Linked DNA regions of Neurospora crassa OR74A. The protein of the gene in region 1 purifies or fractionates together with the protein of each later gene. This does not show direct contact. Links are inferred from orthologs where the notes say so. Each region holds a gene or a part of one and is shown in the gene's direction. Other genes may lie near its edges.

Region 1 (4,420 bases):
CGAGGATGTCAGTTTTCTGGTGGATCGATCCATGGGAGGCTGATCGATCCCTTCCCTTGAATCCCCGCCGCAGCTGTAGCGCTGCCGTCTTGCCCGTGTCATGGTGCCGCATCCACTGTGGGGAAATGGATGCAAGCACTGCAGCGAGCAGCAACCACCGCCGGGAGGACATTCCTGGCAGCACGGGCCTTTTCCCATCGGTACAAAAGACAATTCAAGACTCGACACCCGACTTTTAAACGGTAACCACATGAATCGGTGACATTGTTCTTCGAGATTCCCCGCCGTGGCAGCCGAAGCTGACTACGGGACAAGCTCATGTGTGTCCAACATGGCCTGATTTTGTGTCCAGGCTCCAGGCTGGCCAGGTAATCCAAACCAGATGGCAAGTTGTCCGTAAGCTGAGAATTGTATATTTTGTAGCCACTCGGAGATAAGCCATGCGGGCTTCCTATCGACGAGGCGTCTGAACTGCCGACAGGAAGACGGAAACAACGTGGGATCTTCAATGGGGAGACTGGGTCTCGAACTCAGGTCTCAGTGGCAAACCAGCATGCCAGACTCGAGCTAATTGCGACGGTGATAATCACGACACCGAGTGCGCCCATTTTTCAAACAAATGCCCCTGGCTGTTGTTTGCTTGGACACAGTACACGTGTAGTGTACACTATTTGTGGTTAAGGTTTGTAAAACTCAAGTTGATGCGGAGATAGAGGAGAGTGCATCTCTTTCACCGTCGAACAAAGGCCACTTATTATCCACTCCGGTGTTTTGCCTGCAAGAATCTCCACTTGGGGTACCCGCGGAAACTGATGTATTTCCACGTCGATGAAAAGTGGACGGGCTGCACTCGAGAGGCTCCGACTAGAACTACATACTGTAGTACATACACGTGTAGGTCAAACAAAAAGTGGCTTTTTTTGTACGGTTCAAGAGATTGACACTGGCAGCTCTTGCTTGAAGCCCACTCACGTCAAATCGGTCAATGTGATCCTCTACGTAGTGGGACGCAATGAAACAAGAGAAATCCCTTATAGGAAAAGATACCGACATAGAGGTACCTTTTGTGGAAACGGTCCGACTGATTTTGATTGATTGTCTGCATCTGATAGAACTCACTGTCAGTCCTTTTGTTGAACGAATCGACTCGGGGTGTCGTCGGCATGTCAAGGTGTGCTGACAGTTGCCAGAGCCGGTCACGGCGCACCCGACCCGACCGTCCAGGAACGATCCAGACGTTCCCTTCGACTGATTTTCGCTGACAAATTGACTTTGGACTGAAACCCCTCCACGCTCCACTTGGACACCCCCAAGCGTCCATGCGCCCAATTGTGCCCCGTGTAGCCCGCATTCTACGAGTTTGGCCCTGTAACCAAAGAAGAGCGTCCACTCTTTTCGCCCGCTTTTGGACGGTCTCGCTTAGTCTCGTCCCCTCCATCGCCAAAGACCGCCCAAGAGTCCTTCCCTTCTCAGATCTGAATCGTATCAGCGAACCAACGAAACACAAACCTGCTCTGCAGCCTGTGCCGTCGCCTCTCCAATCGCAGAAAAGGAGCCCCCGCGGGATCATACGTGTACCTTATTTCCTGAACCCAATTGCTGACAGGATTCCGAAAGGCTGAGTGCCAGGTGAGTCAGGTGTCAGGCCGATAGGTTTGCCCATCAATTCAAGTCAGCGTCCGCCGCCATCCCACCCACTCGGCTCGGCCAACGGTTAGTTCTGTTCCAGCAGGCAGTTAACCTTTCCGGCTCACATCTCGGGCACTCGCAATTTTCTCCCCCCTTCTCTACACCTTCTGCCACAACTTCGCCCTGGTACCTCTACCTATTCCGTGCAAATACATCCGCGTCTTTTGTAACTTGCCACTCGGACCAAGTCCCCTCTCTTCTGTCTCAGTTCAAGTTATCCTACTGCCTTCCTCTCGTTTTGACCCCCGGCAAACCCCATCACCTCACACCGAACGTCTTCCTTGGGAGAAGACTTGAGTCTCGAAAACTAGAGAAGCGGGAGAGAACTGGACAGGAACTGGAACTGCCCGGTTTGGTATTCCGTCCTAGCCCGCAACGCTCAACGAGTTTTCTGCCTTTCAAGCTGCTAGTTGCGTGGCCGCTGGCTCGTCCCCGTCTGATCCAAAGTCAGTCTACGGTGCTGTCGAAACGTCATCGTCTCCGCAAGAGATTTTCTATCGTCACCCGTACTAGCATCTGATCTACCCCGACATCAGTTTTCGACCAGGACATACGTACATCTTGGGCCCGGTACCCCGGACCTCCGCTAAAACACATTGCCATTGGACCCGCGGTCTTGATACTCGACAATTGCCGCCTGTGCGGCTCCGACCGCTAGGAGCGATCAGATCACGAGAGTGAATTCATCCCATCCTTTCAACATCCAAGGTCTTTCCTCGATTCAACCGACTGCTCTACCTCTTAGTCACCATCTCCAATACAAGACAACCGAAAATGACGTCGACTCAGAACCCTCTTCACAATCTCGTCCTCACCCCGCAGCAACAAAGCCTGTTGTTTGCCGCCCTCAATTCCAACAAGCCCATCAACACACAAGCCGACCTCTCTGGTCTATCCGCAATGTACAACGGAACGTCTGCCCAAGGACTCGACCCTATGGGTTTCCAGCACACCCCGAATTTCGGTTACGACTACGGCCTTGATGGACAACATGACCCCAACTTCGATTTCAACTTCGACACTGGTGATCAATCCCACATGACGGACGATCGGTCCAATGCTCCAAGTGATTCCAAGTCGGGCTCCGCCGATGTGGAGTCCCCCGACAAGCGCAGTCATCCGGATGACGACGAGGAGGAGAATAGCGAACCAAAGAGGAGAGAGGGCGAGGGAAAAGTTGCCAAAAAGCCCGGCAGGAAGCCTCTTACCACTGAGCCCAGCTCGGTAAGCCTGCCTCGGTCGATTGATCCTTTCGAGTCTCAGTAAGGATTGACTACTAACGTGACAATAACAGAAACGCAAGGCCCAGAATCGAGCAGCTCAACGAGCGTTCAGAGAACGCAAAGAAAAGCACTTGAAGGACCTTGAAACCAAGGTCGAAGAGTTGAAGAAGATCTCCGAGACTGCCAACCATGAGAACGAGATTCTTCGCAAGAAAATGGAGAAGATGAGTAACGAACTGAACGAGTACAAGAAGCGTCTATCGTTGATGACAGCTCGACCCCCGATGGTATCACCTCGGGCTATGCCGTTCGGCAACTCCTTTGTCAGCAACCTCAATGATGTCAATTTCCAGTTTGAATTCCCCAAGTTTGGCGGTCCTCTTCCTGGACCACAATCTGCAAATCAAACCAAGAAGGGAACCCCTGTGTCGCCCCCTTTGTCTTCAACAGGTCGGCTGGAGCAACCCACGAATGGCGTCAGCACCGGTACTACACCCAATTACGGCCAAATAGGCCTTGATACACAAACCAAGGAAGACTTGGCCCATTACTCGGCCGATCTCTTCACACCTCAGTCCGCAAGAGGTGAGGGAGCGAACTTTTCGACCAGGGGAACAGATTCTCAGTACAATGCGGGGGCCGGCACGTCAACGAGTTCCCCGTCCTCTTGCGCTTCGAACATGGGTGGCGCTAGTTCGTCGTGTGGCACCTCCCCAGAGCCTCTAACTCATTCGCCCGTCGGATTGAAGTCAGTAGATACGATGGCCACAATCGGAGAAGAGCAACCAGGCGTCATTGGTTCAGGGCAGCCAGGTAAGCATTCACCAGTCTTCAATGTTCGCTCTGATTGTATAGGCCAGAATTTACCAACACTTTCTAGACTTTAATACTTTTGGTGTTGACAACACTCTCAACTGGTTGCCTCAAGACAATTTCCAGTTTGATCCGCAGCTCTTCGGAGATTACCGAGAGCCTCAGAACAATGTCCTCAACAATGGATTTGACGATTGGTTGACCAATGATGCATTCGATGCGGATTTCCTGGCACCGTATAATCTGCCACCAACAGCTCCAGGGTTGCTGCCACCACAACCCGAAGCAGAATCACAACCACCGAAGAAGGATCTCATCGCTCAGATCGATGAGGTCAACGCATCGGATGATGGAGTCAGAGAGCAACTTGATTGCAGCAAGATCTGGTATGACCAAACCGAGAGAGGCCTCGAAAATGTGACTTTTATTAACATGTTCAACAGGGACAAATTGCGCAGTTGCTCCAGTGTACAAAACCAAGAGATTGATATGGACGCCTTGTGCTCCGATCTGCAGAAGAAAGCAAAGTGCTCTGGCTATGGTGCTGTGGTTGATGAGAAGGAGTTCAAGAGTGTTCTGAAAAAGCACCTAAGTCCTGAAGCAATGGCGAGGTGCGAGAAGGACTGTGAAGAGGAAAAGGCACGAAAAGCAGCTGCCACACTGTAGGAGTGGCTCGCTTACATGCTCATGACTGC
Region 2 (4,518 bases), on another chromosome or scaffold:
GATTACTATTCTCCATATCAAACCCATGCTTCTCCTTCCTAAACAACAGCATGGCTACCCTCGCATCCTCCACACTACTATGCTGTCCCTGATGAATCTCGATGCCCAAAACCTCCTTGGCCAACACCCTTAAACTCGGCTTCGGCCCATGTCCATACTTTCGAAACCCACTGTACTTGGCCGTATCCCTAATATCCCGATGCGGATGCTCAAACCCCAACACCTCCAAATCATGCTTGACATCATGACCCACCAATATCCGACCTTTCAAAAGGGCAGCCACAGTTGCTTGTACGGACTCGAACGATCGTGCGGACGCCATGTGGCGCTTGGAAATGCCTGATACATGCGTGCGCCAGTCGGTCACGAAAGCAGTGGGGCGAACGTACGAGTCGTAAATTTGGTGTCCGTGGAAGTCGACGATGGAGCATCGAGCGAGGACACTGGTGGCGCCCGAGGGACCGGTGCCGACCATTTCGCAGTCGATGGAGAGGTATTTGCCGAGCGTGTTGGACTTGGTTGCTTGCAGGATTAGTGCGAGGTCGGTGGTGGTGGAAGTGTCGAGTGTGAGACCGTTGGAGAGGGTGAGGGATGAGGGAAGGTCGGTTGGTAAGGGGAGGCCATTTTTGTTGCTTTTAGGGGAAGAAGAAGAATGGCCGGGGAGGGTGAGGCCTGCGTTGGGGATGGCGGGGGGGAGGGTGGAGAGGAGAGGGATGTGTGAAGAAGAAGAGGAAGAAGAGGTGCCGCGGAGGCCAAGGTTGTACGCTTCGGCGAGGGATTCAGAGGAGATGCCTTGTTCGTCGGCCCAGAGGTGGAGGGAGGGGAGGGTGCTGTTTGGGGAGGAGGAGGTGGTGGGCTTGGATTGGACGTTGCCGCCCATTTTTTCTTCTGTTGGTTTTTGGCTGCTGGGTTGAGACTGGGTTTGGGACTTTTGTCTTTTTGGCTTCTTGGAAGGGTTGGAGGCTTGTTGCTGTTGTTGACTCTCCTCGGCCTTGCGCTTGAGGGTTTCGGAGGAAATGGACTTTTTGGAAATGGCTTGCTTGAAAGCGGCTTCTTGGCTGATGGGAGCTGATTTGGTTGGTTGAGGGGCCTTGAGCTTTTCTTGCAACTTCTTCCAGTTGGAGGAGAGTTCCGGGGCCATGGTTGGTGACAGGAGGGTCTCCTGCCTTGGTGATTTTGATGGTGGTGGTGGTGATGGAGTGTTGAGTCAAGACAGACAAGTGAGGGTGTCACTGCCGATGAGGGATCACTTGTGGTATGTCCAATCACAAATTGGCGGCCGAGGTTATGTGGAGTCCAATTGGTGCTGAATTCTTATTTGGAATGAGAGAAAGTAAACAAAAGGTTGAGACAAACGGAAGATTTCCAGAAGGTGATAACTTTTTTGTATGAACGTGAAAGTGGATGTTGAATATGGGCCCCACTTTGGTGTTCACTTAAAAATTCAACTGGGGAAATCGGTTCCTGGACGATTGACAGGGTAGGCAAGCCATGCAGGGATCTGCCGCTGTGTCCCATTGCATCCCCGCTGAAATGACGGCCCAAACACGTGGGCTCGCCACTGAAGGACCCCTCCAAAACGTTCGGGAAGCGTCCACTGAAAGAGTCGCTGAACACTACAAAACACTTCAAGACTGACGTCGCGCGTCGCCCGTCAGATTGATCGCATTCAATCGCCCATCGTCCACAACCATCAAATCTTGTCGCAAACCATCGCAAGTTATCGACCGAATCATATACAGTTGGATCACACATAGCCGCCATCATGAGTCCCCCAGGTGGCGATGCCACTGTCGGCTCCGACGAGAAGCGACAGAAGGGCAAGGCGACGCCCGACACCATCAAGTATGTTTCCGTCCCATCATTGTCCACGGCACCCCCCATCGTCGTTGAAAAACCAGATACTAACACCACCAAACAGAATGGGATGTATTGCCATGGTGATGAAAGAAGGCCAATTACGACGAGCAGAGATCCTCAGTATCAAAGACACCAAGTCCGGCCGGCAATTCTACTGCAACTTTGACAACTTCAACAAGCGTCTCGACGAATGGGTGCCGGCCGCCAGAATCGATTTCGAGCAGGACGTCGAGTGGCCCAACCCGGACAAGGACAAGCAGAAGGACGCCAAGACCAAGAAAAACAACTCGACGGTATCCAAGAAGCAACCGTCCAAGAAGAACAACCAGAAAAAGGCCAGCAAGAGGGAGCAGTCAGTCGCATCGGACGGGCAGACACCACACCCATGGACCGAGTTTGTCGAAAGCCAGCCAGGGAAGAATAACAGGCAACGGGGGAAGACGGAAGATGGAACCGACGTCAACGCCAGTTTGGAGGTTGGTGGGGACAAGGGAGTCAAGAGGAAAGCCGACGAGATCGATATGGATGAGGACGAAATACCAGCCGCTAAGAAACAACGCCAGCCGTCTTTTTCCAGGGAACAAGAGATTGAAAAGTTGCGAACATCCGGCTCCATGACACAGAACCCTACCGAGATCTCGCGCATTCGGAATATCTCCAAGGTGGAATTCGGCCGCTACGTCCTCTTCCCGTGGTATTTCTCGCCCTACCCGCAGATCTTTGACCAAGAAGACTGCATCTACATCTGCGAGTTCTGTCTCTCGTACTACGGCGAGTTGAAATCCTTTGTGCGTCACCGACAAAAGTGCACTCTACACCACCCGCCCGGAAACGAAATCTACCGGGACGACTACGTCTCCTTTTTCGAAATCGACGGGCGACGTCAGCGCACCTGGTGTCGCAACCTCTGCTTGCTGTCCAAGATGTTTCTCGACCACAAAACCCTTTACTACGATGTCGACCCGTTTTTGTTCTACGTCATGACCACCCGCGACGACCGGGGGTGCCACATCATCGGGTACTTCTCCAAAGAAAAAGAGTCTACGGACGGCTACAACGTCGCCTGTATCTTGACCCTTCCGCAGTACCAACGCAAGGGATACGGTCGCCTGCTCATCCAATTCTCGTACGAACTGTCCAAAATCGAAGGCAAGCTCGGCTCGCCCGAGAAGCCCCTGTCCGATCTGGGTCTGCTGTCATATAGACAGTATTGGTCCGAGAACATCATCGATATCTTGCTCGGGTACAACGAGCGAAAGGAAGCTTGCACGATTGAGAACATTGCTGTTGCCCTGGCCATGACGACACAGGATGTGGAACATACGTTGCAGGCGCTCAAGATGCAGGTGTACCACAAGGGCGAGCACAAGATTGTGGTACCGGAGAAGCTGATCAAGCAGAGGGAGAAGAGCAAAGCGAAGCAAAAGAGGCTGATTGATCCCGAGAGGATCCAGTGGAAGCCACCGGTGTTCACGGCGCTTAATCGGACATGGGGGTGGTAGTTGCTCTCGCTCAGCAAATATTGAATGATACACCAAGACGACACACTCGTGACACCACCACACGGATTCATGACCCAATTAAAAGAAAACGAAACCATCAGCATTACGCCAACAAAAGAAGATCAATTCCTGAATCGATCAGATACTGGAAACCTTGCAGTAGTGTATGCAAACAGAATGGTCATTAACATGGCCGCAAAGTGCACTTGACCTTTGTTGGATTTTTACAATGGTTTCGTTGATTTATTGGGTCATGGATACAATAGGTGGTATGTCGTCTTGGTGGATCATTCAATATTTGGGGAGCGAGCGCTCTTACTGCTGGGATGTCTGTGTTATTCTCGTTGTAATAGTCATGAGAACAAGATTGCATGGGTAGCAAGCGGGTTGGTTAGTATGATATGGCGTTGGTTTTTGTTTTGGACGGGCACTTGGGGAAATGGCTTACAGGAGGGGGGGAAAAAGGAACACCATATGTATCACTATTACGGCCAAAAGCACCAGAATGGTTTGTCATTTCTTTACGAGTGATTAGGAATATAATTACCAGGATAGAGAAGCAGAGCCTAGTCATAATCTCTACTCATGATCAGCGAAAAAGCCTGTTTGCTACAGCACAAAATCTTGACGAAAGTTTAGCTCAAGATTCCCGACTTTACTATTGAGAGCATGGCTGCTTTGGACGTCATCAAACGTGGGTGTATTCCCCGATCTTACAGACCGCTTTCGCAGATTTGAAGCTTGTGACTGGTTATACCGGCTAGTCGTCGGAGATCTCCCGGGCCGCATTCGGTAGTGAGACCTCCAGACGTCACCTCATCCATTGCTTGTGTTCCGTCAGCCCCGTCCAGCCCCACACCTCCGGCCGGCCGGCCCCGCAACCTAGATTCCCCGCAATACGACATCATTCACGACGGCGATCACGACGGACAAATGGGTTAGGCTGAGATAAACTGAATGGTTTCACCACGGCATTTGAGATTCACTCGCTGCCAGGTTAATAACAAAGCTATGGTCCCAAAACCACCACCAACCTTATCTAGGTTCCACTCATCTCACCAACAACTCAACATTCCAACGTCTTCATCACTCCAAGTTAACATCAACACATCAACAACATTAACAACAACCACCGCCAACATGTCCCCCTCAACAC

The links.
Region 2: the proteins of NCU03905 (region 1) and hat-4 purify together in Saccharomyces cerevisiae (affinity purification with mass spectrometry; 3 studies listed by BioGRID). This does not show direct contact. The link is inferred for Neurospora crassa OR74A from reciprocal best matches to the Saccharomyces cerevisiae genes YAP1 and ESA1.

What each region holds. Positions count from the first base shown.
Region 1 is NC_026506.1:2,106,307-2,110,726, reverse strand, and holds the start of NCU03905 (hypothetical protein), read left to right. Parts: upstream 1-1,389; 5' UTR 1,390-2,463; coding exon 2,464-2,913; intron 2,914-2,983; coding exon 2,984-3,725; intron 3,726-3,792; coding exon 3,793-4,111; intron 4,112-4,168; coding exon 4,169-4,391; 3' UTR 4,392-4,420. UniProt on the Saccharomyces cerevisiae protein: Transcription activator involved in oxidative stress response and redox homeostasis.
Region 2 is NC_026504.1:5,717,103-5,721,620, reverse strand, and holds hat-4 (histone acetyltransferase esa-1), read left to right. Parts: upstream 1-1,622; 5' UTR 1,623-1,765; coding exon 1,766-1,845; intron 1,846-1,921; coding exon 1,922-3,362; 3' UTR 3,363-3,975; downstream 3,976-4,518. Other genes in the region: NCU05217 (RNA exonuclease 4), read right to left, coding at 1-1,141; NCU11146 (aminotransferase), read left to right, coding at 4,320-4,518. UniProt on the Saccharomyces cerevisiae protein: Catalytic component of the NuA4 histone acetyltransferase (HAT), a multiprotein complex involved in epigenetic transcriptional activation of selected genes principally by acetylation of nucleosomal histones H4, H3, H2B, H2A and H2A variant H2A.Z.